Linked DNA regions of Ovis aries. The protein of the gene in region 1 purifies or fractionates together with the protein of each later gene. This does not show direct contact. Links are inferred from orthologs where the notes say so. Each region holds a gene or a part of one and is shown in the gene's direction. Other genes may lie near its edges. The genes, in order: CAMKV, SDC2, ZC3H18, PNN, PNISR, ACIN1 and NOLC1.

Region 1 (4,406 bases):
TTCATTCATTCTGCAGACATGAACTGAGCACCCGGAGACAGGACACAGGCTCTGGCCTGTGCCCAGCTCGCCAGGAGAGTCCTCCCCAGTGGTGGAGTTGGTGTGGTGGCTGAGACCACCCAGAGCCCAGGGAGCCGAGAGGCTGTGACCAAGCCAGGGAAGGATGTGAAGGGCTCCTCAACACCCCCTGAGGAGAAAGATACTGATGGGTCCTGTTTAAGTGGTCATGTCCCAGGCTAGACTTCCAGCCCCAGCCCCAGCTTCAACTTCCTAACTTGGACAACTGCAGCCACAGGGAACCATCCAGGAGAGACTCACTCAAAGGTTTGGAGAAGACCCCACCAAGGATGGGGTCAGAAGGGTTTGGGTGAGGTGGGGCCCAGCTCCAGGCAAGCCAAAGTCTGGCCTTCAGACACTGGCCTTAAGGATTGGGTGGGGGTGGGGGGTGGCATGGCAGGCATTTGGTCCACTTGCATCCATGACAAGGCACAGAGAAATGGCCAAGGACTTGCTGCAGAGCCTCCTCCTGGCAGTTCTCAGCCAGGGGGCAGGTTCTCAGGTAAGGGGGCAGGTCTGCTGGGACTTCTGGGGGCTGTAAGTTCTCTTGTATCCCTGTATCCTAGCCCAGGCCACCAGGGGTGATTGTGCTCAGGAAGTGCTCAAGGGTGATTAAATGGGAAAGAATGCAGAGTCTACCCTTATCATTGGTAACTTTCAGAGCTTGAGAAATTCAGAGGCACACTGGAGGGGGCAGACTGGGCCATCCACCCTGGCTGGGACTTGGAGATGGGAAAGGCTCTAACTTGGCAGGAAGGGACGGAAGGGTGGGCAGAGAGACTGGCACCAAGGTCTGGGGCCCTAGCTTGCATGCACACCCCCCCCCCATGTGTTTACTAGCTAGGGGAGGCCAGTCTACAGTGAAGCTTGCCCTAGCGACTGCCCAGTTGGTTCTTTTAGTGGGTTCTGCTCTTTGGGTCAGGTTTTGGGAGCTGGTGGGTTCAGGTGGTAAAGAATCTGCCTGCAATTCGGGAGACCTGGGTTTGATCCTTGGGTTGGGAAGATCCCCTGGAGAAGGGAATGGCTACCCACTCCAGTATTCTGGCCTGGAGAATTCCATGGATTCTATAGTCCATGGAATCGCAAAGAGATGGACACGACTGAGCGCCTTTCACTCAGTTTGGGGGCTGGACAGAGCGCCAGTACCCTAGAGACCACTACCTGCCAAGACACTCCCGTGCAGTTCCAGGACTCAGGCTTTCTCCCCACACCTTCTACTCTGCCGCACCCTCTACAATGACCATCATAAGGTACCTCCAGTCCCTGTCGCCCGGTCAGTCCGAGTGCCTAAGGGAACCTTCGAGAGCCTGGCCCGGGCCACGCAGGCCAGTGCCCACCGTCTCTGCTGCCACCCCTCATCAGCCCTTCTTCGAGTAGGATTCCGGGCTCTGGCTCCTCCAGGGTCCGGGCGGAGCCGGCTGAGAGAGGCCCCGCCCCCAGCCCGCCCCCGGCCCGGGGTGCGAATCCGGTGCCGGCGAGCGGCGGGAGATGCTGGAGGTTCGCGAGCCGAAGTGGCTGCAGCTGGCGCCGCGTCTGCCCCGCGTGCCCGGAGCGGATTCTGCCCGCCGCCCCCGTAGCCCTCGGCGCCCCCACTGAACCCGCGATCGCATCCTCCCAGTGACCGACCAGCGCTGCAGGTGCGGGGTGAGCCGGGAGGGGTGGGCCCCCGGAACGCACGTTGCGAGGTCTTAAGGGATTGGGTCTCTGGCTCGAGGTTTGGGTAGCCGAGTGCGCGGGGGCGCTGCAACGGCTTGGGGTCCTGGCGGGGGCAGAGTACGCGGGCTCTGCAGATCCAGGGCTGGGCGTGCGGGGTTGGGCTGAAGTTCCCCATCACCTCAGACGGCTCGGGGGTCCCAAGGGAAGCCTCTGAGACTCAAGTCCAGGCCAATCTCCCCTCCTTGTCCCCCATCCCACCCCTCGTCTCCCTGTGAAAACAGTAACCTTCCAACATTGAGCTGCCCCAGGGGGTTGGGGGCGAGGGCTCAGAGGTCCCTCTGGACTCCCAAAGCCGCTTCCAGCCCCTCCCAACTGCCCCCGGACCCCCCCTCCCTCCAGCTAAGCAGTCACTAATTTCCATGACAACGAGAGTTCTTTATGGGCGACAACCTGAAGGGGGCTGGGCGGGGCTGCCGCGGGGTGGGGGAGGAGGCTCAAGCCCCTGGGGACCAGCAGCCCCCTAGGCGAGATCCAGCTTCCGAGCCTTAACTCGGCGGCCTCCCCGAGGGTCCAGGACACCGACCCAGCGCTGCGCGGTGGGGGTGGGGGGACGCACATGTTTCTGCCGGGAGGTGCGGGGCTTGGTGCTCACACGTGTGCCTCCCGCATGTGTGTTGCTGTGCCAGCGGGGGCGAGTCAGCAGCACTGGGGAAGGGGGTCAGGGTGGCAGCACGGTTAGGGAGCAGAGCCCCCGGCTGGTAGGGTGAACAATGAGAGAGTGAGTCTGCCTTCCCCCGCCTGTAGCGTCTGGCAGAGACCCTAGGCTCTCCCAGCCCCCCATAGCTGTGCCAAACGGCTTTTGTCTGCACCCCCTAGGCAGAGCCTGCTTCACCAGGTTCCCTCCGAGGAAGCAGGGCTCTCTGTCCATCACCAAAAGCTCAGTCTGCAGCAGTCCAGCTTCTGGCCAGCCACCCTCCTCCAAGGGTGGCTTTGAGCCCCCCAAGGACCACCTGCAGGGACCTGGTGTCCTCCCTGTCCCCCATCCCCAGTCAATTCCTGTCAGCTTTAGGCACCTGCTGGGCCCGATTTTCCTCAACTGAGAAATTGGTGTCTCCGCTCCCCTCTCTGTCAGGCTGGGCCCTGGGCTGGAGCAGAGGTCTCTCTCCTTTTCATTTACAGTATTTGGTAGGGATCCTCCTCCTCCTCCCGTATCAGCTGCCTCTTCCCATATCAGCTGCTGGCCCTCCTCTCCCATCCTTGTCCTGGCAGGTGGGCAGTCCTTGCCCTGGGAGAAGGCCACAGAGTCAGTGATCTCCATCCAGGGAAACTGAGGCAGAGTTGGTGGGGTGGGGAGGATGCTGTGCAGTTGCTTTCCTGTTTCTAGACTGCTCAGGGTGCTGTTTCTGGCCTTCAGGCAAAATCCACTGTTGGGGAGGGGGGCAGCCGTGGCAGGGAATGAGGCTGAGCTGCCAGAGAGGCCCTGGGGACCCAAGGCCTCTAGGGAAGAGCAGATGGGGGTGGGGTGGGGGGGCTGGTGCGTCCAGGCAGAGCTGGGTCAGCTGACAAGAGGGGCTGCAAAGGGAAGTAGCCAGGTCTCCAAGCTTCATTCCATCCCCCACGCCTGTGCCTTCGGCATGTTGGAACTGCCTTACCTAAGCTGCGTTGGTGACAGGGAGAGGGGCTGAGGAACTGTTGGGACCGAGGGGACCACAACAGATGGCCTCTTCCCACACCAAGTTCAGTGCATGTCTAGGGGGATACAGGAGGGGTCAGTCTCAAAGGTCCAGGCATCAGGGGCAGGTCCAGGCATCAGGGGCAGCTCCTGGCCCAGGTGTGCAGAGCACATGGTCATGGAGACATTAGGGCTCTGCTGGACATCCATAGGCCCCTTCAAAACTCCCAGCCCACCTTTTCTCCTGTGTCCTTGTGCCTGCGTCCTTTTTACTATATGAATTCTTTACCCCCCTTCCACCACAGGTTGTGCCTTTGTCTCTCTGTGGCCCTGCCCCTCTCTTTCCTAAAGTCTCTCAGTTCTTCCCTGATGGAGACCAGGGTCACAGAACCCATTCAGGACAAAAATCTCAGGGAATTCCTGGAGAAGGGGTTTGAATAACACCTCTCCTTACCCCTCCCCCCTTTTAAAAACTTCCATCACCATAGCAACCCTATACTCACAGGGCCTTCTCAGCATTTCCGCTCCTCCACTCAAAGGGCAGCGGGGCCGCCAGTGGGTTTTCCTTCAGGGGCTCAAAGCTTGGAACCCGGGTGCCTGGAAGGGGTCAGTTGGCTCTTGGCTCAGCCTGCATGTTTGAAGGCTGAACTTTCTGGAGACAGCACTGGATTGTATGCCCACCCCAAGACTGGAGAGCCTTCTCCCCAACCCCGCATGCGCTCTAATTAGATGGGAGATAGTCAGCAGCCGGAACTAGTGACCAAGGCCCAGCCAGGGCAGGCCCCTTCCCAGTTACCTAAAGCAGCTGGATGGTGGACGAGAAACTTGACTCTGCCTCCTGACACAGACCTGAGAGCGAGGTCTCTATTTCTACCCATCCTGTGGATGAAATGTCTGCCTCACGCTGGGCAGAGCTCAGACCAAGGCATGTGGATTACAGCAGGAAACCCAGCTCTGGTCCCTGAAAGTAGACAGCAGGGAAGGGGAGGGGGTGCCTGCAGGCTGGTGTTCACAGCTGCCA
Region 2 (3,667 bases), on another chromosome or scaffold:
TTTTTGTAAAAAGGCAAAATGAACAAACAAAAAGACATAGTGCCAGTTGGAAGTCAGTGGTTAGTCCTTACCGCACAGATACTGGGCCAGCCCCTGGGGGTGTTGGGATTTTGTTAGACACTCTTGTGGGGAGCCAATCAAATGCAGTCCCTCAGCCATAGGAAGCTTGTGATAAGTGCAGTCTTAGGGTAAGACAGGTGGTGCTAAATAAGCAGGTGATGAAGACTCTAATGTGGAAGGAAGCCCTTCTCCAAGGAATGACATTTGTGCTAACGTCTAGAGGTGAGGTTTAGAAATTAACTAGGCAGAGACTTCTGGCCGAAGATCAGGGGACCACAGCTGGAGTCTAGGGGATAACAGGATAAATGATGCTGAAGGAAACTGAAAGAAAGGTAGGCCAGGACCGGACTACACAAGAAGAGGTGGCGGCATTTCATATTCACCTTGAGAGCAGTGGAGTGCCACTGGTACAGTTTTAAACGGGAGAGTGATGGGGTTGCAGCCCGTCTGTGCACAGAGGACTGGAAGGAAATGAGGAAGAAGGGAGGTATGGTGATTATGGAAAGACTGGATGGCGATGGAAGCCCAGGAACCCTAGAAAGGTGTTAAGAGTGGAGACGTAAAAAGAAGGTAAAATCCATAGAACTGGGTATAGATTCAGTGTGGTGGTGAGGAAGAGGGGAGGGAGCCAGAGCTGTGATTTACAGGAACAAAAGGTTCCACTAACTGCCAGATAACATGAGGAGAAAAGACTGCGTTTGTAGAGGGACAGGCAGGGAAATCATGAGTTCTAGTTTTTAAAAATTTTATTGACGTGTAGTTGATTTATAATATCGTATTCATTTCTGCTGTATGACAGTGATTCAGTTGTGTATATTTTTTCAATATTCTTTTCCATTATGGTTTATCACAGGATATTGAATATAGCTCCCTGTGTTATGCAATATGACTTTGTTGTTTATACATTCTATGTATGATAATTTGCGTCTGTTAATCCCAAACTTCCAATCCTTCCCTCCTTACCGCCTCTCCCCTGGCAACCGCAGGTCTGTTTCATGAGTTCTATTTGAACGTGACCGAGATGTATTTACTACCTTTGAGTCATTCATGTGAAAATGCCAAGTAGGCTGGTGGATATGTAGGTCTAAATTTTGGAGGAGTGGTAGAAGGGAACCACTTGGGTTAGTTTGGGTTTCATTTGTATTTAGATGTAACAGAAGCCATGGGTGAGAGAGAAAGTGTAGAGTAAGGTGCAGCCTAGGGCTCAGCCTTAAGGAACTTTTCATATTTTGTGTCCAGGTAGAAGACAATGAATCTGCAAACGAGACTTAGAAATAGCCAGAGAGGTGAGAGGAAAGCCAGGAAGTCAGAGTCATAGAAACCCAAAGGTAGTGCATCAGAAAGGAGGTGAGAGTTGACAAGCGTCCAGTAATACTAGGAGGTTCAATTAGATGAGGACCACTCTGGAAAATGCCACTGGATACAGTACGTGAAGGGGAATGGTGACCTTAAGAAAACAGTGCCAGCAGTGCGATGACCGGGAACAGTTGACTAGGGGGAGTAGAGCAGAGAGTGGAATAGGTGGTGTGGGAAGGAGCTGGTGAGTCTGCACAACCCCACTGAGAAAGTCTGGCTATAAATGGGGGAGGAAGTGCAGCAGCTCACTCACATACAGGGTCGGTGTTCCCTTTTCTTTGTTGTTGTGATGGAAAATGGAAAATATAGCATGTTTCAGCATCAAAGGGAAGCAATCTCTTGAGGAGAGGAGACTGAACACACAAGCAAAAGAAGGGCTACTTGAGGGTCTTCCCTGGTGGTCCAGCAGTTAAGAATCCACCTTGCAACGCAAGGGACATCGGTTCGATCCCTGATTGGGGAACTAAGACCCCACGTGCCATGGAGCTGCTAAACCCATGCACTGCAACCGGAGAGCCCGGGTGCACCAACTGCTGAGCCCACAGGCCACTCCTGGAGAGTCTGTGTGCCACAATGAAACATCCCTCATGCCACAACTAAGACCTGATGCAGCCAAATAAATAAATTGTTTTTAAAAGGGCTACTCGAGAACATTCGGGATAATAATAATATAGAAAAAAACGCCAGACTCCCCACAGATCCACTTTGAAGTCACTTTTTCAGACTCTGAAGACTGCAGGAAGGTTTATGCTAAGTTCCTGAGGAGTAGGTATTGTGAAAAAACATGGCTCTGTCATTATCAACTTTAGACCATGTAGCCAGATACTGTAGAATTCTGTGTCATGACTCATGTGCTTAGCTCATCTTTGCTTATTCTCCCAGGAGCTGATGAGGATGGAGAGAGTCCAGAGCTGACCACGTCTCGGCCCATTCCAAAGATACCATTCACTAGTACTGCTCCGAGAGTGGAAACCACAACACTGAGCAAGATACAGGACAAGATCCCTGCTCAGACAAAGGTGTGTTTTATTTCACATCGCGTCATCAGGTTATGGTCAATGTGCCTTTTTAAAAAATTGTACAGAATGTTCCTTTTAAGAGGCACCTTTTAAAACTGTGTAAGGACAACTGGTCTTTTCATTATATTGTAAATGGCTCCTCCTTATTCTTCATGATCGTTTTGACATTTGCCAGTTACTGTTTTTTTGTTGTTGTTAAATAGGCTTTGTTTTTCAAAGCAGTTTTAGATTCACAGCAGAATTGAGTGGGAAGCACAGAGAGTTCCTGTATACCACCTGCCCCGACACATGTTCAACTGCCCCCCCCCCCACCATCAACATCCTGTAACAGAGAGGTACACTTGTTACAACTGATGAATCCATTCAGTTCAGTTCAGTGGCTCAGTTGTGTCCAATTCTTTGCGACCCCATGGACTGCAGCACGCCAGGCTTCCCTCCTGGAGTTTACTCAAACTCATGTCCATCGCGTCAGTGATGCCATCCAACCATCTCATCCTCTGTCGTCCCCTTCTCCTCCCGCCTTTGATCTTTCCCAGCATCAGGGTCTTTTCCAATGAGTGGTTCTTCGCATCAGATGGCCAAAGTATTGGAGTTTCAGCTTCAGCATCAGTCCTTCCAATGAACATTCAGGACTGATTTCCATTAGGATGGACTGGTTGGATCTCCTTGCAGTCCAAGGGACTCTCAAGAGTCTTCTCCAACACCACAGCTCAAAAGCATCAATTCTTCAGCGCTCAGCTTTCTTTACAGTCCAACTCTCAGATCCATACATGACTACTGGAAAAACCATAGCTTTGACTAGACGGACCTTTGTTGGTAAAACAATGTCTCTGCTTTTTAATATGCTGTCTAGGTTTGTCATAGCTTTTCTTCCAAGGAGGAAGAATCTACATTGGCTGGTCATAATCTCCTAGAATCCAGAGTTTAATTTAGGGTTTGCTCACTGTGATGTATTACCTTGTATGGGTTCTGACACATTTCTAATGGGCATGTATCCACCATTAGTGTAGCCTACCGAATAACTGCACTGTCCTAAAAGTCCTCTCTCCCCTACATGTTTGTTCCTCCTGCCCTCCCAGCCCCTGGAAACCACTGATTTCTTTTTACTGTCTCCGTAGTTTGTGCCTTTCCAAAATGTTGCATAGTTAGACTCACGTAGTGTGTAGTCTTTTCCGATTGGCTTCTTTCACTTAGTAATATGCATTTACAGTTCCGCCATGTCTTTTCATAGC
Region 3 (4,400 bases), on another chromosome or scaffold:
GTAAATAAAATGGTCATCTGAGTTAAATTCACCCATTTCTGTCCATTTTAATTCACTGATTCCTAAAGGTTGATGTCTCTTGCCATCTGCTATTCAACCACTTCCAGTTTACCTTGATTCATAGACCTGACATTCCAGGTTCCTATGCAATGTTGTTCTTTACGGCATTAGACTTTACTTCCATCACTAGTCACATCCACAAACGTGTTGTTTTTGCTTTGGCTCTGTCTCTTCATTCTCTCTGGAGTTATTTCTCCACTGATTTCCAGTAGTATATTGGGCACCTACGGACCTGGGGAGTTCATCTTTCAGTGTCATATCTTTTTGCCTTTTCATACTGTTCATGGGGTTCTCAAGGCAAGAACTCTGAAGTTGCTTGCCATTGCCTTCTCCAGTGGACCATGTTTTATCAGAGCTCTCCACCACGACCCGTCCATCTCGGGTGGCCCTACACAGCATGGCTCATAGTTTCATTGCATTAGACAAGGCTGTGGTCCATTTGATCAGTTTGGTTAGTTTTCTGTGTTTGTGGTTTTCATCCTGTTTGCCCTCTGAGGGATAAGGATAAGAGGCTTATGGAAACTTCCTGATGGGAGAGACTGACTGGGGAGAACTGGGTCTTTATGGGCACAGAGGGTGGGAAAAGGAAGCTAAGAGGGTAGGTTGCTCCTACAAGGGTGCCTTACTTTAGGAAGGGGAGGGGTCATATACAGGTCATCTCCCTAGTGCTGATCAGACTGTTGGGTTGCAGACTAATGGGTTTAAATTTCCACTCTAGGGAGAGGCTGCAATATCAATTAGACTTGATAGGTTTAGCATCTAAGTGATTAGATCTTGGACCTGTTGATACTTTTTAACCGCATGAGGATTAGCTTAAAACTTTTAAGCTTTGACATTTAAACTCAGTATCAAAAAATGATTAAATTTTGTGTTGGACTGATTATATTTTATAAAGCAAGAGCTATTTAGTACCACAGAAATAGTTTCTAAAACGTTTAAACTTTGACATTTAAACTCAGGTTTTCGAAAATGATTAATTTTGTGTTGAACTGATATTTTAACAGAGGGAGCTATGTAGTCCCTAGTAAGCAATGTAAAAGGTCTAAGTTTTGTTATTTAAACTCATTTCCCGAAAAGGATTAACTTTAGGCCGGGGGCTCTTCAGCAGGACTGGAGAAGGTAAGCGCTGAGCCGTGACGTCGCGGGACCCAGCTATGCCTGGTCGGGTACAGCGGGAACAGCGGACGGCTAGTCGGGAACCTGCGCCAGTACTTCACGTGACCACGCGCCGCGGACATCCTTCCTCGCACCTCGATGGGCGGTGCGCGCGCTCTGAGACCCGCCCTAGGGTCGGGGCCCCGGCCGCGCCTGCGCCATGACTCGGGCGGGCGCGCCCCGAGGGGGCGGGGCCGCACGGGGGCGGGGGCGCGGAGGCCGGAAGGAAGCAGGTGGGGGGCGTGGCGAGCGAGGGAAGCCCGCCGGCCCGCAGATAACCGTCGCGGCCTGATGACGTCGCACAATGGCCGGCCCCCGCGGCTAGTGGAGCCCGTTTGTTCCGCCCGCGTCGTGCCTGAAGCCGGAGCCTGGGAGCAGCGGAAGGGCCGAAAGACGCCTTCTCCGCGCCGTCCCGACCCCTGCGAAGCCGTGGCCCCCTCTCTGCCCTCGAGCTGAGGTAAGTGGTGGTGGTGGCTGGGAGGCCTGGCCGGCGGGAGAAAGAGGCCGAGGCGGCCGGGCAAGGAGCGTGGCGGCGGCACTGAGCCGAGGCCCGGAGCCTCGCCGCCTCTGCCTCCGGGGAGCACTCCAGGCTGCCCCCGGCCGAAGCGTGACTCTCGGGCCCCGGGAAGAGGACGCTGAGCTAGGCACGATCCCAGGTTCGGTCCGGACGAACTGGCCGGGGGTCCTGAATCCCTCTAAGCTCGAGCGCCTGGCGGCTGCCTCCGCACTCCGTCGTGGGGTTGGTCTCCCGAAGCTGTCATTTCTCTTCCGGGACATTCGCGTGGCACTGCTTTCCGCCCACAAAGATGGGGGTGCGGAAGGAGGCACGCAAGTTCGCCCTCCGGACTGAGAATAGGCTCTTTGGGAGCTTTGAGCTCTCTGGATCCTCCTGGAACTTGCTCCCTCGACTTCCCGGGCGGCACAGGTTGGATCTATTGGCTGTGCCCCAAGACGCACGCCACTCTGGAATAAACTTCCCTGTGCCCCTTTGGTTGAAAGCCCATAGGATGCCGGGTCATTGCTGGGAGAACCTAAGACTTAAAAACTTCCCGCCTTACTCCTGCTAAAACTTAAGTTTTCCTGAATACTTTATGACAGCTGAGTTTGCTGGATAGAGTGGTTGATCATATTATATGAGCTGTTCAGCTCTACATCTGTGAGAGCAGGTCAGTCTTTAGATCCGTTTGGGGAGAATGGAAGAAAAGTGCGTTTAGGGGCATAGCAGTGGCTTTCATCCTTTCTCCTTCGTGTCGCCTGTGGAGTGGTCCTGTCCCAGAGCAGAGGTTGGGATTCTCAGGGTGAAGCTGGACCCAGGCCAATTCCTGCTTCCCAGGCAGGGGCATTGTTGCCTGATGATGTTACAATCTGAGCACAAGTGTGGAACCCACCCAGCTCTGGAAACCAGTCACAAATGTCCTGGAGGCTAGAATTTCTCTCCAGTTTTTGGTGGGTAAGATAGTTTTATGAGACCATTCCAGAGAGCAAAGGAGGTGTTTTCCTTTTTCACAGATCATCTCAAGGTGAGTGCTTCCTCCCTGAGAAGTCGTTTGGTTCAGGCTTAGTCTGTTTGGGGATGATGTCTATCCCCAGTCTTGACATCCTTCTTTTGGATATTGTAAAGCTATGAAGTTATGAACATGAATTTTAACCAGATGTACCAGAACTTGGGCATTCAGATAGGGACAGCTCTATTAAAAATTGTTGTCCTGGAAGGTTAGACTTGTATTTCATTGGTGCTTTTTTGCCAGAATCTCTTTAGAAGTCCTGTTTAGGTAGTAAATATGCAAGCCATAGGAGAAAAATCAACAGTCACACCACATGTTTGACCCGAAATCGTCTTACCTGGCTTGGGAACTCACCTCACTTAACCAGACCAGGCTTTGAATGGCTTTCTGCTGACCCACCTTGAGGGAGGGAAGATTTGCTGCCACTGAGAGTGCCCGGGGATTGTATTGCATGTTCTAAAGTTCTCTCAGAAAAGTTCCCAAATGTTCTGTATTTTAGCAGTGCCCTTGGAGTCGGGGTGCAGCCTTCCAGAATGACCTCTGGAAAAGGAGGCAGCACCACTCTGTCTCAGTTCCAGAACAGTCTTCTAAAAAGTAGACACTTATTTCAAGTTTCTTTCTGGCATGCAACAGGTAATTTACAACCCAAGGAGACTCTGTGATTTATTTGACAAGCATCTGTAAATTTCCATCTGCTAGTGTACTGCGCTGTGGAGACACAGTGATGGACACTGTTACTCTCTTTTCCAGGCAGTTTCACTATCTTGTGAATCAAAGGCCTAAAGAGTTATAAACTTTGCCAAGAATGCCTGACGATAGGGTGATTGTGTGAGAAGAACACACTAAGTAAGTGTTGTGAGCCTGGGAGTTGTGAAGACGTGCCCAGAGGACCCTGTGTTTCACTGTGTACACTCAGTAGACCACATGTTTTCCTGGCTCCTGACGCATAGCACTTACTCACATAATTGCCAAGTTGAATTAATCTTGGAATAGGACACTGATGCCCAGAGAACCAGTTAACTCTCCCAGAGTGGGCCTAAAACACAAACTGCATTCTGACCCCTAGCGGTAGTCCCCTCCTGCCCAACAAGATGTCACTCGGGGTGCTTCTGATAAGTCAGTTCTTTGGTATGTTTTCCTCTGCAAGCTGTTCACCTGGATGTAGCCTCAGATTGTAAAATCCCAGGAGATTCCACAGGGAGAGAAAAAGTGAGTCTCTTTCCCCAGGAGAGTGTCAGGGCCGCCTGCGGGTGACTGTGTGTCCTGGTGTGCCTAGGAAGGCTGTGACTCGTGCCTGTGGTAGTTGTCAGCAGTGCCCCCAGGTTCAGACAGTAAGTTGTGTGGTAGCATTTGCTGAGTTCAGAGGACCGAGGAGAGTCTGAGTCCTTCCACTCACGCCCTTCATGGGGGGGATGTCTCCCAACAGACTTTGCAAACCGATAATGGCAGTATAGCGTGGTGAGTGTGGGCATATGGTAGAATACTACACAACATACTCAGGGCAGTGGTTCTCAGTCTAGGGAGGTTTTGAACTCCCAGAAATGGGAGATAAATTGCTTATGTCCAGGTTTTTCTAGGGAGAAGAGCCATCCCCTTCCTCAGATTCTCAAAGCCATCTGTGCCCTTCCCCACCCTGCCGCCAGTGGAAGGCTGATAGCACTTGTCCACCTGGATTGAAGC
Region 4 (4,305 bases), on another chromosome or scaffold:
ATTTAGCAGCAAACATCAGCCCAACAAATGAAAATCCTTTCACCAATGCTCCCCTTAAGATCTATTTAGTCTTAAGATATGATAAAGTTACATTCTTACACAGCAAGGACACAGTGATATATAACAAAGTACAGTGATCTATTACAAAAGAGAACATCCATTAACTCAAAAAGTCTAGTATTGCTAACATCAAAAACTACTATATTTCCTTTGCTATACTCCAAATACATTGATTAATATATTCCCAAGTGCCTAAGGATATGGAGGCCTGGTGGCAATCATTGACTCAACAAGAAGAAAAAGTCCTATGCTAATTAAGACTCTCAAAATACTCCAAAACTCTGTGCTGTTTATGGTTGAGAGGTAGTAAACAATCATGTGCCTAGTGGCAGCAGTAAGGATAATCCTGTCACACAAGCTAGTCTGTCAGCAGAGAGGTTTGACCTGAGACATCCCTGTCCCACCCAGAGCAGGGAATTAGTAGCAATTATTGACACAACAAATGAAAAACCCTTCACCAATATAATTCCTAACCAACTATACTAATAATTTCTAACTCCCCAAAAGATTTGCCTTTAGTAAGTCTAAAACATCTCATGCCTCTCAGGTTAGGAGGCTGTAGACAATCACATGTGGCCAGACGAACCTATACAGGTGGGCTAGATAACCTTCAGAGGAGTCCGTAAGCTGAAACACTCTTGTCACGCCCAGGAATTTTTATTGCTTTGGAGCTGCACGTTTACTCCTTCTCAGAGAGAAACGGTTATGGGGGAGAGCCCCCCGTAAAGTCAGAGGTGTAGGTGAGAGCATAAAACCGACTCTGGTTTTGGGGTTAGATGCTCGGGAACAGGGGGTTTCCTGAGGCTTGATCACGCCTTTGCGTATGCCAAGCCTCCTTCCTCATGACCTTTGCCATGGGCGGAATTCCTCACGCTGCCCCCGGCAGGGGATAATGTATGTAAAGTGTTTCACAGAGTACAAAATAACTGTTAGCTATTAGGAGGAATGACTTTTCTTTCACTCTCTTCCCTCCGCTCTTTTAAGGTTTAACCTAATCAAGAGAAGTCTGCGCCCCTCCCACCGCCTCTCTGAGCATGCGCACCAACGGAATGGCCGCACCCTTTCCTAATCAAATCATTTACTGGGGGGAAGACGAGGAAATAGACTCGCTTGAACCCTACTCTGAGGGTATCAGGTGGTAAAATCATAAGAGGCACGTTCTCTACAGGTTAAAAGGGCCAGGAAGACCCCGCTCTCCTCACCAGAAGAGCTGGGCCGCGAACCCACGTCTCCGAGGACCCAGGTACTCAAACCCGCCCCAGCTCTGCGCTAGAAGCGGAGCCCAGCCACCCGCAGCTAATTGGGGAAGGAGGAGACCCCTGCCTCACTTTTCATTGGCCCAGAGTCACAAAGGCCGGCAGTTTCTCCCCCTTCCGGTTGCTGAGTGGTTGAGGCCGAAATACAACTCCTTTTGCCATTGGCCGAACCCAGCTGTCAGTCTTCTGGCGTCTTGCGGCGCGACACAGGCAGGCGCGGCCTATAGAGCAGTCTCGAAGCCTGCTGCAGGGAGAAGATGGCGGTCGCAGTGAGAACTTTGCAGGAGCAGCTAGAAAAGGCCAAAGAGAGCCTAAAGAATGTGGATGAGAATATTCGCAAGCTCACCGGGCGGGATCCGAATGACGTGAGGTAAGGAGTGGATGGGAAATGCTGGCTACCAGAGGCGGCCGTGAAGCCGGGGTGAATTGGGGGCGGGGAGGGCGGTCAGCCCTGAGAAGACTGGAACATCGAGGCCTGTTCGCGGGCAGCCGTGGGACCCTGTCCTCGGTGAGGTGGGAATTTCCAAGGCCTTCAGCGTTAAGTCCTGGGTCTTGGGTGCGTGAGGAAGGAGAGCGGAGCCTGGGTGCGCCGGGATGGTCTCCGGTCCTGTGGGAAGGCCGGGACTGCCGATTCCCGCCCTCGGCCCCGCAGGCCCGGAACTGCAGCACAAAGCCTTCCTCCTTCGCGGGCCACCCGATTCAGGGCTGGCCCTGGGACCTTCCGGGGACGCGGTCCGCTGCCTCACCCTCCGGCTCTTGCCCACGTGCAACTTTCTTTGGGTTGGTGAAATTTGAACCTGACTCAGGCCTGTTAACGTGTAGTGGTGTTAAGATAAATACAATTTTGTGAAACTGGTCTTGGGAAAACGAGGAAGTTAGTAAAGTGCTTATTGCCGTGTTTCGGGTTTGAAACCGTCATCTTGAAACTTTTCTGTTTATTTTCTCTTGATGGTGAACTGCACCCGTTGAAGTGTTTGGTGCTGTTAGAAACGATTGTTGAACTGATTTGTAAATTATTTTGTAGGCCCATCCAAGCCAGATTGCTCGCCCTTTCTGGTCCTGGTGGAGGTAGAGGACGTGGTAGTTTATTGCTGAGGTAAGATTTCCTTAAAATTTAATCTATTGGTACTGTACTAAATTAATGAATCGGTTTAAACAAATTTCTTGCTAGAGCCAGTGTTAAGAAAAGTTTGATTTGAAGCTGTGATTAGCTGTAGTTCTCTGTATGGTTAATTTACATACAGCTAGAGATTGAAGAATACGGTAACTATATCAGTTATGTGCAAACTTAATATATTCTCATAGATCTAAAAGAAATGCTATAAGAACATCCATCTTGAAGTAAATGTCCATTTGAGGTTACTTTATTTGGAAGAGGAGTTTTTAATAACAGCAACTAAATTATCTTCTTAAATAGAAATAACCATTTTTCTTAATTTTCATATGCTTTATGTTGGACATTTTTATTGCAGGCGTGGATTCTCAGATAGTGGAGGAGGACCCCCAGCCAAACAGAGAGACCTTGAAGGGGCAGTCAGTAGGTATGTTGGAGGACAAGATTCTGAAAGCATACTTTATTTTATGAGGTAGAATGTAAATATTTAATATTGTTGAATTGAGTTGTATTAGGATTGAGTAGTATATCACTTACTCTGAGTCTTTTCACTTGGTATTTGACTGAACTGAGATAGCCAGTATCCCTCAAAACTCAGTTCTTCATGGCAGTAACAGAAATCTTAGCACATGGAGAAGGAAATGGCAACCCACTCCAATATTTTTGCCTGGAAAAGTCCATGGACAGAGGAGCCTGGCAGGCTGCAGTCCACGGGGTTATATGACTGAGCACGCATGCATGATAGAGATTGGAGGGAGATGGGTTGGTAGCAGTAAACTGGTAGAACTAAAAAAAGAAAGCACAGTAAAGGTCAGGAGAAAGATAAGATGGAGGAGATTGTCTGTCTGTGTTACTTTCCTGTCTTATACTACAAAAGCTTAACTGGGTTGAGAGCTGCTGCTGCTGCTAAGTCACTTCAGTCGTGTCTGACTCTGTGCAGACACGACTGCGGCAGCCCATCAGGTTCCCCTGTCTCTGAGATTCTCCAGGCAGGAACACTGGAGTGGGTTGCCATTTCCTTCTCCAATGCAAAAGTGAAAATGAAGCCGCTTAGTTGTGTTTAATTCTTAGCGACCCCATAGACTGCAGCCTACCAGGCTCCTCCGCCCATGGGATTTTCCAGGCAAGAGTCCTGGAGTGGGCTGCCATTGCCTTCTCCCTGGTTGGGAGCTGTAGGAGATCAAAGTTTGAATTGGCCTTTTAAAATTCCCTTTCCTATGTCAGGCTGGGAGGGGAGCGTCGGACTCGACGAGAATCACGCCAAGAAAGCGACCCAGAGGATGATGATGTTAAGAAGGTAATTGAAATTAAAAGAACTTCATAGAGGGTGAATATAGTATTTTCACCTTACTACATTTAGTAGAGTGCTACCTGTATGTTAGTTGAATTACTGAGATTTCTTTTCTCCTGCAGCCAGCTTTGCAGTCTTCAGTTGTAGCTACCTCCAAAGAGCGCACGCGCAGAGACCTTATCCAGGATCAAAATATGGATGAAAAGGGAAAGCAAAGGTATCTTAAGTATCTTTCTGGAGGAAAACAACTCTTGTTAAATAATGCAGTTTTAAGAAAATTTTAGGAATTGTTCAAGTGTCTATACTGTGCTTCTTTTAGGACATGGCAGGTTTAAATGAAGTAGAATGTTTTGAAACTGGATTTTGTTTTTCTTTTCTTTAGGAATAGGCGAATATTTGGCTTGTTGATGGGCACCCTTCAGAAATTTAAACAAGAGTCCACTGTTGCTACCGAAAGGGTATTTATGCAGTTTTTCTTTTGCTTCCTTTATTAACCTGTCAAAGTAGTTGATTATGTGTTAAATGTTTAAAAAAAACTTAAGATTTAATTGCAAAATTCACAACATGAACTGATATTTCCTAAG
Region 5 (3,667 bases), on another chromosome or scaffold:
TGTGGCTGTCATACTTTTTGTGATTGTGCAATACTAAGAAATAGTTTTGTTCTTAGAATAGAGGAAAGGGTCTGAAAGGATGCATTTAATAAATATTTATTTAATGCCTGCTATATGTTAAGGCCTGGGGTACAAAAATGAAGAAACATCTGCCTACTATGTGTGTCATTGATTCTTGAACAGGGTTGTATATCTGAGTTGGAAAAAGTATAAAAATGACTTGTAGGCATTTAAAACTTTTTACTGTGAAAGTTTTCAAGCTAGTTTACAGTTTTGTCCCCGTACTCATCACCTAGATTTAATAGTTATTAACATATGTCTTTCCCCCCTACTTTTCCATCTTAATTATATATTAAGAAACCTGGTCTTGGGGGGTTCCAGGTGACCTAGTGGTTAGGATTCTAGGTTTCATTGGTTCAGTCCCTGGTCAGGGAACTGAGATCCCACAAGCTGCATGATGTGGCAAAAAAAAAACCTTGTCTTGTGGGCTGTCTCACCTTGTAGATTTGTCTGATTGTTTCTTTTGATACTGTTTAGCCAATACTCTTGTCCCCTTGTAATTCCTTCACACTGGAAAGTGAAAGTCACTCAGTCGTGTCCAACTCTTTGCAACCCCATGGACTATACAGTCCATGGAATCTCTAGGCCAGAATATTGGAGTGGGTAGCCTTTGCCTTCTTCAGGGGATCTTCCCAACCCAGGAATCAAACCCAGGTCTTCCACATTCCAGGGCTGGGAAGATCCTCTGGAGAAGGGAAAGGCTACCCACTCCAATATTTTAGGCTTCCCTTGTAGCTCATCTGGAAAAGAATCCGCCTGCAATGTGGGAGACCTAGGTTTGATTCCTGGGTTGGAAAGATCCCCTGGAGAAGGGAAAGGCTACACACTCCAGTATTCTGGCCTGGAGTATTCCATGGACTGCATAGACCATGGGGTCACAGAGTCAGACACGACTGAGTGACTTTCACTTTCGCTCAGTTGGATTCAGGTAAACATTTTTGGTGAAAATAGTAATTATGGGGACATAATATTGTGTCTCATTGAATTTTTGATTTCCCATCAACTTTTCTTCTAAGACTGTGTGAATCAGCTGTTTTTATTAGGTTTGACAGTATGACTGCTTTCTAAATCTATTCTACCTTCTGCGTTCATGGTTTTCTTTCATTAACTAGAACTATTTGATAACCCTCTTCAGTAAGTCTTGGATTATGGGAGGCTAAATAGATAAACCTTTTTTTCTTACAATCTTCAAAATAATTACATTCCACAGGTTTATATGAGATTTTAAATTAAATTAGAATTAGAAAAAATTAGAAAAATTAGATTTTTCCCCCTTTGAGCTAAATGGATTAGAGCTATGCTTTCCTCCAAACTCTTGACACCAGCATTAACATGAAATTTTCTATTCTTGCTTGCCAACCAAAAAATTCCAGTTGCTTCTGGCAACCTTTTGAGCAGAATTTTAGAGCTCTGATGACATAAATGTAAAATCATATAATAATTTCTGATGTGTGAGCTTTTTTAACATTAAATAACACTCATTCTCTCTTTGTTAAACTATTTTTTGAAGACAGAAAGACAGATATATTTTAAAAGTCAGGATGTGGGATCAAGGAGGACAACCTTGGCAGCAGTGGCCTTTGAACCAACAACAATGGATGCAGTCATTCCAGCACCAGCAGGATCCAAGTAAGGAAACAAATTGAATTTTGGGGACTAGAGTAGGGAGTTATATAGAAATGGGTGGAAGATAGGCACAAGGATTAAGGGAGGTAGAATTGAAATTGGTTTATTGGGTCATTTTATGGTTGGATTTTAATTTTTTCTCTTGAATCATCTTAACCTAGCATACATATCAAGGAATGGATTTCCCTTTGGAATATTTTTTCAAAGGGTAGAAAGTTTTGTATAGATTTCATATTTCTAAAACTGATTTAGTTCTTGTTTTCTGAAGAAAGTCTTTCTTAAATGTGTTGCTTAAGTTAATCATATTTCTGCTGTTAATTCTGAGTCTTAAGATTCTGTGTAGATCATAATCAACTGATGGTATACTATATAGTTTTAAAACCTCTCTTTAATATGAAGTATCTCAAACTTATATAGATGCAGAAAAGGGTATAGGGATCCCCCATTTATTACTGAGTTCTAACAGTCGTTAATTCATAGCCAATTTTGCTTAATTGGTATGACCTCTTCTACTGCCCTGTGTTTACTGAGTTAATGCTTTCCTATTTCTTTTTTTTTTTAATAGCTACAGAGCATTCTGTTATAGGACTGTACTGTAATAAATCTACTTTTAGATGATTGATTGTGACTTGACTTTTTGAAGACATTCCCCTAATTTTGTATACATACCATTATTACTTATCCAGTTATTTTCTTAGGAAAAAAAGCTAAGAAATAGGTTTGATAGATCACAGTTGTACATTTAAAGTTTTAGATATACATTACCAAGTTTAACTGCACCTTTGTCAAAATGTATGAGAATATATTTATTTAATCTTAGCTAAACTGAGATGTAAAAGCCTGTGTCTTAGTCTACATTGTTTACTTTATTAATACTGTTAGATCTTAAAACGTTAGCTATAGTTTTTTTTTTATGATTTTTAAAACTTTTATTATGAAATAATTATAAGTTTATAGGAAGTTGCAAAGGGATTACAGGGACTCTCATGTAATCTTTATCTTGTTTCCTTGAGTGGTTACATTTTACATGTTTATGTTATAACACGAAAACCAGGAAATGGACATGGGTAGTACCACATGTATGTACAGTTCCAGTCACTTTAATCACATGAGTAAAAGCTATAGATTTTTGATGGGGATAGAGGAAACAATGAATTTTGAATAAAAATGAGTAAGAAGTTGTTGAGATATATTTTGACTAGAGAAAGGAGTTAAAGATGCTAAACAAAGGTGACTGAGAAGGAACAGAAATAGCTAGCTATACTCACCTGAGGTGTGTAGGATCCAGTGTAGACCTGAATGGGACCTGTCTGAGAAAGAGTGAGTTTAATCATTTGTTCTTATAGTGATTTTTAAAAAGAGTTTAAAAATTCAGTGAACTAAGGTACAGGGAATACATTTTCTTAGGAGTAATACTAGAAATTGGTTATTTTGTAAAGTCCTTTTCTGAGTGTCTTAAGTCATTTTGTAACCTGCATATGCATTATTTTTAGGCATTTTTTCCACTATAACATTCTATAATATTTAAAATCTCTAGTAAAGATTAAGTCAAATGCTTCTTTTACATAGAGGCACGTTCTTTTAGCTCCTACATTCTGAATGTCAAATTCTGCTGTGTTAAATTTTGTTAGGCCAGATTGACTGGGCTGCATTGGCTCAAGCTTGGATTGCCCAAAGAGAAGCTTCAGGACAACAAAGCATGGTAGAACAACCACCAGGAATGATGCCAAATGGACAGGATATGTCTACAATGGAGTCTGGTCCAAATAATCATGGGAATTTCCAAGGGGATTCAAACTTTAACAGAATGTGGCAACCAGGTTTGTTGTTTATGTTTTCCAAATTTTAGGACTTAATTTTAAAATAAAATGAGGAATAAAAGTAAATTGTTTAATCTGCTTAGTTTTATGACTTCTTGAATACTTCTTGAAGACTAGGTAGTTTCAGTTAGATTTGACCTTGAAATTTTATGGTTAAAATT
Region 6 (4,141 bases), on another chromosome or scaffold:
ATTCCTACAAAGAATCTAAAAATAACCAAAGCATCCCTTGTTCATTCTGTCCCACCTAATTCTATGTTCTAGGTTGAGTAAAGAAAAAAATCAACGATTAATACTGGTCCAATATATCTTCCCTAAAATGAAAAAAAGGTATACATTTTTTAATTTACCAAGCAGCTGGTCAGGACCCAGATGCTAATCCTTTCTGAGCTATCAACAGTAGGTTAAAAAAAAAGAGAGAGAAAATCTTATACAGTGAAAGAGCCTTCTCTGCAATGTGCATGTAGCCTCTGAAATAAGAACTTTATAACTGTATTATTTTCTTATATTTCCTGTAAAGCATCAGGAAAAATTGAAGAGCAGAGTTAGTGAGGGTGCCTTGTCCAAAATGAGATAACAGAGTAAGAAAAACAGGAAAAGCAGCCAATTCTTTTTTAAGGACTGAGAAAACGGTCTAGTTGGTTTGCTGGCTTAGGGACCTAGCAAGTGTTATACTGCTGTGACAATTCATGTATGAACACTTTTCTTCGTGTTTAATAGAATACCTGTTGATGACCGGCCTTAGCATCATTAATGCAGTTGGGAGGTCAACCAGCTTGAATAGTTCTCAAATTCCACAGTTTGAATCTCGATGAAAACAACTTGTTTACGACATATTTTACTGTTTGTGTTTCTTCTGTTCTAAGCTGGAGCGTTTCTACTGACAAAGGAACCCAGAAGCAATTACCATCAGTTCACTACCAAAACAGCTCAAGGAGGTTTCTTTTTCACAGTGGCCCTACAAGAAGCAATTCTTCCTAAAGGAATATTATTCTCTTATTCAGAGAAAGGGAGAACTTTTCCCGAGTCTTGCGACATAGCTTCAATGGCAAGTTCAAGTCCAATGATCAAGAACTGGTTCGTAGGCCAGGTCCAAAGACACTATGCTGCCACCTTCCACTTTGGAGGCCACGGAATCTGGCATTCCGAGGTCCCAAAGAGCAACACAGCCCTAGATGGGAGTGGCGGAGATTCGGAAGATGGGAGGCGGTAGCTGTATCCGTAGAAGAGTTGGAGGCTTGCCACACTAAGGGTAGCACGCAAACACTGAGTCTTGCCCAGCCCAAGGAGGGAGGTACTTCTACCCCGCTTACCTCCCCTTTTCTCTCACAGGGCACCCGGAGACCGCCACAACAGGGTTTAGACTCCAACTATCGCGGCCGCTTCCATGTTTCCTGAAAACCCTAAGGAGGGCCAACCCGGCAGCCCACGCACTTCCGGCCCCGGACCCGCCCCAAACACCCAAGTTCCACAGCGCCTCAGCCTTAGGGCCGGAGATAGCCGAAAAATTCCGATTATGGCTAGGCCAGAGTCGACAGCTTCCGAACGGATTCGATTCAAAACCTCGGTAAGACGAAGAGAACCGAGCTCTGAAAGCAGGATGCGGGAGGCGGGGAGAGGCTGGGAGGCTGGAAAGAACCAATTGGTGCCGATGTGCAGACGGAAACACCCGAGCACTTCCGGAGGAACCCGGGGAGTTCTGAGTGGTAATCGAGGGGTTGACTATGGCAGTGGGCGGGGCCAACTCGGTACGTTCGAAGGGCGTTGGCGGAAATTACCGAAGATGCCCGAAGCCGTCGGGACGGACCCGAGTACCTCACGCAAGATGGCGGAGCTGGAGGAGGTGACTCTGGACGGGAAGCCTCTTCAGGCGCTGCGGGTGACCGACCTGAAGGCCGCACTGGAGCAGCGAGGCCTAGCCAAGAGCGGGCAGAAGAGTGCCCTGGTCAAGCGGCTCAAAGGGGTGAGGAGACGGCGTTGCCGGGGTGTCGGAGGGAAGCGGACCCGGTAGAGCCGAGTCTCTGCCGCGGCGCAGGCGCAGTGTCCGGGCTCGGCGCGAGCGAGCTCAGGCCGCCAGCGCGAGCCTCCGGATCCGCGCGCACGGTGGTTGGCGAGGCTCGCGCTGGAGTAGAAATAGCGCCGGTTCCCGCCTTAACGGTAGCGGCGCGAGCCCAAAATGGGAGGGTGCGCGCTACTCTCCTGGAGTGTCTTAAGCTCCTTCCTCGTTCCCCCACCCCCTCCTTGTTTGTGTCTGTGGTTTCGGCGCATGCGCTGCAGAAGGAGTTAAATCCCACTACAACCACCGGCGTTGCTGGCCTGAGGGGGGCGAGTTGGGCTGGGTCGGAGTTAGGGGTATAGTTGGCCGGAGGGGTTGATGGGGTTGGTTATTGGTATCCGAATGAATAGAATTGGGGTAGGGCAAAAATGTCTGCTTGACTAGATTAGGAGGTGAGATGAAGAGAAGCCTTGATTTGAAGGGACTTGGTTAGCCAGAAGTGTATATTTTATAGGGCATCCTGAAGCAATTTGGGTGGATAAGAGTTTGGTGAATATTGATGAGAGAGGTGAGGTGGGCTGGTATGTATTGGGGATTTTGAATCTGCTTAAGTAGATTAGGGTGGGATTGCCAAGAGGTAGACGGATGAATTGGTGTGTTTATTTGGTGTAAATGGAGGGAAGGTGAGGATCTCTTGATTTTGATTTGCGTTAGTTAGGATACGTGACCACTAGTACGGTTTTGGGGGCTTCCCTGGTGGCTCAGAGGTTAAAGCGTCTGCCTCCAATGCGGGAGACCCGGGTTCGATCCCTGGGTCGGGAAGATTCCCCTGGAGAAGGAAATGGTAACCCACTCCAGTATTCTTGCCTGGAGAATCCCATAGACAGAGGAGCCTGGTAGGCTGCAGTCCACGGGGTCGCAAAGAGTCGGACACGACTGAGCGACTTCACTCACTCACTCACTCAGTACGGTTTTGGGCTGGGTTGGCTCAAGGGTTAAGTTGGCAGACCGTTGCTTATACTGAAGCTGACAGTTTCGTGTGTGTGTGTTTATAAATTTGGTAAATCTAGTTGCCACTCTTTTGGAAACAATACAAGTTCATTTGAGTAGATCTAATCTGGGTAACTGATCAAATAATTCACTGAGGACAAAATCATGGTTTCATGTGTTTGAACCTGGTTTGAGTATTTGAAGTGAAGGGCCAGATTTAGAAGGAACACTAGTCAGAAGTGCAGAAGACAATAGCGATTGTAGTACTGTCAGATTTTATTGCATAGCCAGATTTCTTCAATATGCCTGCATTTTACATCTGTACATTTGGTAGCAGTAACCATGGCTACCTTTAAGGGTCTTCTGAAGAATGAGAACAGTATTAGTAAAGGGCATTTAGGTCCTTGGAAAAGTACAGTTTAAGTGTGTATGGTTAGTCATTGCATTTGATGAAGAGATTGGGGGAGGGGTATTTTTTGCTTTTGTTTTTCCTGGTTTCTGACTTTTGCCCTTCTCTATACCAGGCTCTAATGCTAGAAAATTTACAAAAACACTCAACCCCGCATGCTGCATTCCAGCCAAATTCCCAGGTAAGAAAGAAGATTCATTACCGGGGTGAACTCTGAATGCACAGAGACAGGGAAGGACATGATGTTGTATGTTTGGCGCTTGGTTTCTCACCAGTATTTTCCTAAGTTCCTTGGGTTGAAAATGTTTTCCTACTGGGACAATTGAATTCTAATAAAGAAGTCAAGAATCAGAAGAGCTCTAAGTTAATTTTTGATTCTTGAAATGGTGTGTGCAGAAAGATGTGGTTCCAGTTGATTAAGTGGAGTGCAAGGGTCTGAAGTCATTTATTTGACATTGATTTGAGAGAAGTAGTTGATGTCCTTGTAGATATGAAGTAGACAGTCACCATGGCAGTATAGGAAAATACCTCCTGATCCAAGAAGAATTCTTGTGTTGACATAAATTTTCCAAGAAATCAATCCTTTGGGGATCATCCACCATTATCAGTGTTAATATTAACTATGGAGTCATTCCTGAGCATTGTTACTTGCAGCAAGAAACTTAACCTTTGGAGACCTTGATTTCCTCAGTTTCCCTGTATCCGAGATGAGAAAAGGTTGAACTAGATCGATAGTTTTATAACTGCTGAGATTTTGTGGAGATGCTTTTGGAGGCTTCCCACAGGAAATTTCTTTCCAAGTGAGCAGCAGTTCACATTTCCCCCCTAAGCTAGAATAGCATTGAGTTTCTGCATAAGATTTCTTTGAAAGAAACCATTCCCAGTTTTTTTTTTTATGTTAGACTATGTAGTCTCTTAAGATTCTTTTCAGCTTTACC
Region 7 (4,460 bases), on another chromosome or scaffold:
AGACTAATAAACATGAACTAGAGAGAACTGCCAAGTGCTGTTGTGCTTTTTTCTATGGTGCTGGTGCCACAGAAGTCATGTTTCCTCTCTGAACCCAACAGGGACATTCTTACTTCCATTTGATTCCTAGGACCCCTCTTCAGTTAGGTGCAGAATCCTATTGGACTTGAAACTGCTCTTCAAGAGTCTTGTAGGTGAAATCAGTCATCTAGGGCAGTGCTTCTCAGACTTTGAAAGGGTAGCTAAATTTGGAGATCTTTTAAAAATGCGGATTCTGAGTTATGGGGTGGGCCTTGAGATTCTGCATTTCCAACAAGCGTGGTGCTATTGGTCTGGGAAGGAATTTGAATATCAGGGACCCAGAGGAAGTTCACACCTGTTGTAAATAAAGGTTTTTGAAACTGAGGCTTGTGTGTACCATTGCGTGAGCACAATGCTTGGCATTCAGCAGGTGCTCAGATGTTTAAAGAATGCATGCAAGTGAATAGACCTTTAGGAAAGAGGGACATACAGGAATTATACCAAGGACAGGGGAATGCCTATTTTGAGAAAGGCAAAGAAGTGTATCCTTTGAGAAAGTGAACCCTTACCTCCCTGAGGGGCATGAAGGAGAAATAGTCTAGGGCTAGTAGACAGGATTGTAGGGATTGCTATCTGCTAATGTGAACTGAAATATGGAGAACCTGAAATTAACTTAATAGGCCTGGGCATTGATAAATTTGAGTACTCATGACAGAGGCAGTTGAGGGGTTTTCTAGTTCTTCCACGGGGAGGATTCATAGTGTGGACTGTGACCCAGGAAGTAGAAGGGTTATTTTCAGGATTATCCGTTTGAAGAGATTGCTGCTGTCGCTCGGGTTTATTGCACATCCCCTTTTTCTCTTCATGAAGCTGACGTGAAGCTGTGTAAATAAGGGAGGGTAGAGTTGTCTCATGGGCAAGTCAAGATTGAGGTGGACAGTTTTGAAGATCAATACCTCACCACTACCACAGATAATCTGAAGGGCCCTCGGTAATGGAGTTGGGAGTGCAGAGGTTGGGGTGGTATTTTGAGAAAGGGCCTTCCAGGGTGTTGAAGTGAAGATGGGGAAGAGTGGGAATCCACTGGCAGCGCAAATAGGGGACGGTGGGATATGTGACCAAGTTTAGAAAACTCAAGGTCAGCTCAGGCCCGCCGACCCACGCCTTACTCTGATATCTGAATGCTACGGGTAACCGCTGCACTGAGAAAGGTGGCTCCAGCAGGAAGGCAAGGCGCGGGAAGTCCGAAGCTTTCCCGCCGCCACCAAAGGCGTGACCTCTGACGTAAGGGCTCCGCCTTCACAAAGCAGAACGGCGGGCTCCGCCTTTCCAAGATGGCGACACTCGTGGGACCGGAAAGCGTCCATGGATTTCGCCTTTACCCTGTCTCCGAGAGTGCGCCCGCCCCTTCCGGCGTGTCCCGCGCAGCGCGAGGACGTTGCGTGGGTCCGCCCCTAGGCCGCCTCTTCCGGTTTCTTGAGTCGTGTGCGTCCGCGACGGTAGTGACGCGTATTACCCGGAGGATGGCGGACGCCGGCTTACGCCGCGTGGTTCCCAGCGACCTGTATCCCCTCGTGCTCGGCTTTCTGCGAGATAACCAGCTCTCGAGCGTGGCCAATAAATTCGTCAAGGCAACAGGCGCTGTGAGTCCGGGGCTTGGATCATGGGCTGGGGTGGGATCACCACAGGGCTGCGGGCCCTGGCATGCTTAAGTCTGCAGGTAGGGAAGTGTGCGGGGTCCGCCTGACTAATGACTGCCAGGTCTTTGTGCCGAGCTCTCGGCGGTTGGTGGAAAGCCTGGAGTCTTGGCATCACTTCCACGAGGTCTGGCTACTTAGCGCTGAGTCTTGCTTTTTTCTGGTGAGAGGTGAGGCGGTGGCAGCGTGGGACCCTCGTGGCCTAGGTCACGTAGCTAGCAGAGTGCGACCGGGCGGGAGCGCCTGGTCCTACCGGAGGCATTAGAGGCTCCTGGTAGTGCCAAGCGTGACTTGAGTTTAACTCTCAAACGAATTTACCCAGGACTCAAATAGAATTGCTTTAGAAATAATGAAAACTGAAAAAAAGTGAAAGTTAGTCGCTGAGTCGTGTCCGACTCTGCAGTCCCATGGAGAAGCTCACCAGGGTCCTCTCCAGGAGAGAATCCTGGAGTGGGTAGCCTTTCCCTACTCGGGGGATCTTCCAGACCCAGAGCTCTAATCGGGTCTCCCTCATGCGGGCAGATTCTTTACTGTCTGAGCCACGGGGAAGCCGTTAATGAAAGCTGGGATTTTTGTTACTAAAGAAAAAAATGAACGGGAGTAGAAGCAGGGTTGAGCATCAAGCAGTTGTGGAATTTCTGACTTCCTGCATCAGACAAGTGTAGGTTTGGGAACAGTCTCTGCCACTTTAAAAGTGTATGATCCAGGCAGCTTGCTTAATCTCTTTGAATCTGTTTCTACTTCTATGAGCATGCCATCATTCACTTTATAGGATTTTTGTGAGTTTTAATAACATGATATATGCAAAGTGGCAATACCAGTGCCTGGTGCTCAGAAAGCATCAATGAGTGGAAGTTGTTATGTTGGCTATGGTACCTTAGGATGTTTAAAAAACAAATAAAAGGAAGATGACCAGGAATATGAAAGGTTTGGAATCTCCATCTCAAAGAGATCAGACAAGACTGCACAAAAAAACACCTTGAAGATAGAGTGGAGTGGTGAGGTAGTCCTTAAAAGTGAAAGTGTTAGTCACTCAGTGGTGTATGACTCTTTGTGAGTCCATGGACTCTAGCCCGCCAGGCTCCTCTGTCCGTGGGATTCTCCAGGCAAGAATCCCGGAGTGGGTTGCCATTCCCTTCTCCAGGGGATCTTTCCCACCCAGGGATCAAACCTGAGTCTCCTGCATTGCAGGCATATTCTTCACCATCTGAGCCACCAGGGAAGCTCATATGGTAGTCCTTAGTGGTCTTAGTCTTTGATTAAGAAGATAAGCTTGTTCTTTGTGGTAGAATCAGGTTACACAAGTTATAAGTCAGATCAGCCTCAAAGGGCTTCCTTAAGCTGAGACGGCCTGCCATATGTGATCTGATAGAGCTGCTTTCATATTGGAACTGTTTTGCATTGACTGTTAGAGGCTGCAGAGAGTGTTTCCACATCCGGCTGGATGGAATTGGGCCTTTCAAAAGAATCAGAAATCTTTTTTATGTGACAAAAGCTAATCTTTGTGGAGGGCATACTAAGGGCCAGATGCTAAGCCCCTTATGTGCATTATCTCATTCTCTCAACAGCTTAGTGCTTTATAGTATTATCTATCTTAAAGGGAAGAAAAACAGTATTAGATCAAGTGATTTACTCAGGGTCACACATTACTAACCAGCAGAAGTAAGTTTCACATTTCATCTAACTTTGAGCCTGTACTCTCGTATATACTGTAATGCCTTGCCATTTTTTTTGAACACCAACTCATAATTCATAAGCAGTGTAATTAACAGCTGAATGCAGTTCTGCACTGAATAATTAGCATGCTGCTAAGTCACTTCAGTCCTGTCCGACTCTGTGCGACCCCAGAGACGGCAGCCCACCAGGCTCCCCCGTCCCTGGGATTCTCCAGGCAAGAACACTGGAGTGGGTTGCCATTTCCTTCTCCAGTGCATGAAAGTGAAAGTGAAGTCGCTCAGTCATGTCCTGCTTACTCTTCGAGACCCCACGGACTACAGCTCACCAGGTTCCTCTGTCCATGGGACTTTCCAGGCAAGAGTACTGGAGTGGGGTGCCATTGCCTTTTCCTGAATAATTAGCATAGATTTTTACTAATCTTCTCTTGATGGTTGATTTCCAGTGGTTTGGAATTATAAACCAAGTTGCAGCAAATATCTTCCTGTGTAGGTATTTGTTTCATGGGTAAGGATAAATTCCTGGATAGTACACTGCTAGAATAAAGCAGTGTTTTTAATGGAATGCATGTTTTTAAAGGCTTTGATAAATAGGATTGATAGGCAGGGGAATAGATGATGCCAGAAACTACAGGAATAACCCAAGTTTTTGCTACCGAAAATTTGGAAATACATAAATAGAATATTTTTCTCCTAATTTATACAAGTAGGAGAAACCTTCAGAGATGTAACATTTATATCAGATAGAGCAGACAAAATAAGTGACTTTTAATGAGAGAGTAACACAAAATTTGAACTCCCATAGAATAACCAGGATAAAACTTTCTTACCGTGCTTTCTCTGTCTTTTCTCTTATAGACCCAGCAGGATGCCAACGCCTCTTCCCTCTTGGATATCTATAGTTTCTGGCTCAAGTAAGTCTTCTCTTTGCCAGTGTGGCAGTTTTCTCCCTGTGAGTAGGCTGGGTTGTATTCTTTGTTTTGAGAAGGTCCTGTTCCCCAGAAGTTAGCCTAATCTGCCTCAGCAGGTCCACCAAGGCTCCAAAGCGGAAGTTACAGGCAAATGGACC

The links.
Region 2: the proteins of CAMKV (region 1) and SDC2 purify together in Homo sapiens (affinity purification with mass spectrometry; 3 studies listed by BioGRID and IntAct, counting the BioPlex papers as one, with this or other methods). This does not show direct contact. The link is inferred for Ovis aries from reciprocal best matches to the Homo sapiens genes CAMKV and SDC2.
Region 3: the proteins of CAMKV (region 1) and ZC3H18 purify together in Homo sapiens (affinity purification with mass spectrometry; 3 studies listed by BioGRID and IntAct, counting the BioPlex papers as one, with this or other methods). This does not show direct contact. The link is inferred for Ovis aries from reciprocal best matches to the Homo sapiens genes CAMKV and ZC3H18.
Region 4: the proteins of CAMKV (region 1) and PNN purify together in Homo sapiens (affinity purification with mass spectrometry; 3 studies listed by BioGRID and IntAct, counting the BioPlex papers as one, with this or other methods). This does not show direct contact. The link is inferred for Ovis aries from reciprocal best matches to the Homo sapiens genes CAMKV and PNN.
Region 5: the proteins of CAMKV (region 1) and PNISR purify together in Homo sapiens (affinity purification with mass spectrometry; 3 studies listed by BioGRID and IntAct, counting the BioPlex papers as one, with this or other methods). This does not show direct contact. The link is inferred for Ovis aries from reciprocal best matches to the Homo sapiens genes CAMKV and PNISR.
Region 6: the proteins of CAMKV (region 1) and ACIN1 purify together in Homo sapiens (affinity purification with mass spectrometry; 3 studies listed by BioGRID and IntAct, counting the BioPlex papers as one, with this or other methods). This does not show direct contact. The link is inferred for Ovis aries from reciprocal best matches to the Homo sapiens genes CAMKV and ACIN1.
Region 7: the proteins of CAMKV (region 1) and NOLC1 purify together in Homo sapiens (affinity purification with mass spectrometry; 3 studies listed by BioGRID and IntAct, counting the BioPlex papers as one, with this or other methods). This does not show direct contact. The link is inferred for Ovis aries from reciprocal best matches to the Homo sapiens genes CAMKV and NOLC1.

What each region holds. Positions count from the first base shown.
Region 1 is NC_056072.1:50,432,739-50,437,144, forward strand, and holds the start of CAMKV (caM kinase-like vesicle-associated protein), read left to right. Parts: upstream 1-1,542; 5' UTR 1,543-1,694; intron 1,695-4,406. UniProt on the Homo sapiens protein: Does not appear to have detectable kinase activity.
Region 2 is NC_056062.1:80,505,112-80,508,778, reverse strand, and holds part of SDC2 (syndecan-2), read left to right. Parts: intron 1-2,298; coding exon 2,299-2,435; intron 2,436-3,667. UniProt on the Homo sapiens protein: Cell surface proteoglycan which regulates dendritic arbor morphogenesis.
Region 3 is NC_056067.1:13,378,966-13,383,365, forward strand, and holds the start of ZC3H18 (zinc finger CCCH domain-containing protein 18), read left to right. Parts: upstream 1-1,516; 5' UTR 1,517-1,672; intron 1,673-4,400.
Region 4 is NC_056071.1:46,897,093-46,901,397, forward strand, and holds the start of PNN (pinin), read left to right. Parts: upstream 1-1,493; 5' UTR 1,494-1,573; coding exon 1,574-1,686; intron 1,687-2,340; coding exon 2,341-2,412; intron 2,413-2,788; coding exon 2,789-2,857; intron 2,858-3,654; coding exon 3,655-3,727; intron 3,728-3,843; coding exon 3,844-3,938; intron 3,939-4,103; coding exon 4,104-4,179; intron 4,180-4,305. UniProt on the Homo sapiens protein: Transcriptional activator binding to the E-box 1 core sequence of the E-cadherin promoter gene; the core-binding sequence is 5'CAGGTG-3'. Capable of reversing CTBP1-mediated transcription repression.
Region 5 is NC_056061.1:37,643,530-37,647,196, forward strand, and holds part of PNISR (arginine/serine-rich protein PNISR), read left to right. Parts: intron 1-1,570; exon of another isoform or gene 1,571-1,574; 5' UTR 1,575-1,601; coding exon 1,602-1,689; intron 1,690-3,317; coding exon 3,318-3,506; intron 3,507-3,667.
Region 6 is NC_056060.1:21,576,688-21,580,828, forward strand, and holds the start of ACIN1 (apoptotic chromatin condensation inducer in the nucleus), read left to right. Parts: upstream 1-1,252; 5' UTR 1,253-1,324; coding exon 1,325-1,771; intron 1,772-3,318; coding exon 3,319-3,384; intron 3,385-4,141. Other genes in the region: C7H14orf119 (uncharacterized protein C14orf119 homolog), read right to left, coding at 534-559.
Region 7 is NC_056075.1:22,593,487-22,597,946, forward strand, and holds the start of NOLC1 (nucleolar and coiled-body phosphoprotein 1), read left to right. Parts: upstream 1-1,522; 5' UTR 1,523-1,544; coding exon 1,545-1,664; intron 1,665-4,249; coding exon 4,250-4,305; intron 4,306-4,415; coding exon 4,416-4,460. UniProt on the Homo sapiens protein: Nucleolar protein that acts as a regulator of RNA polymerase I by connecting RNA polymerase I with enzymes responsible for ribosomal processing and modification.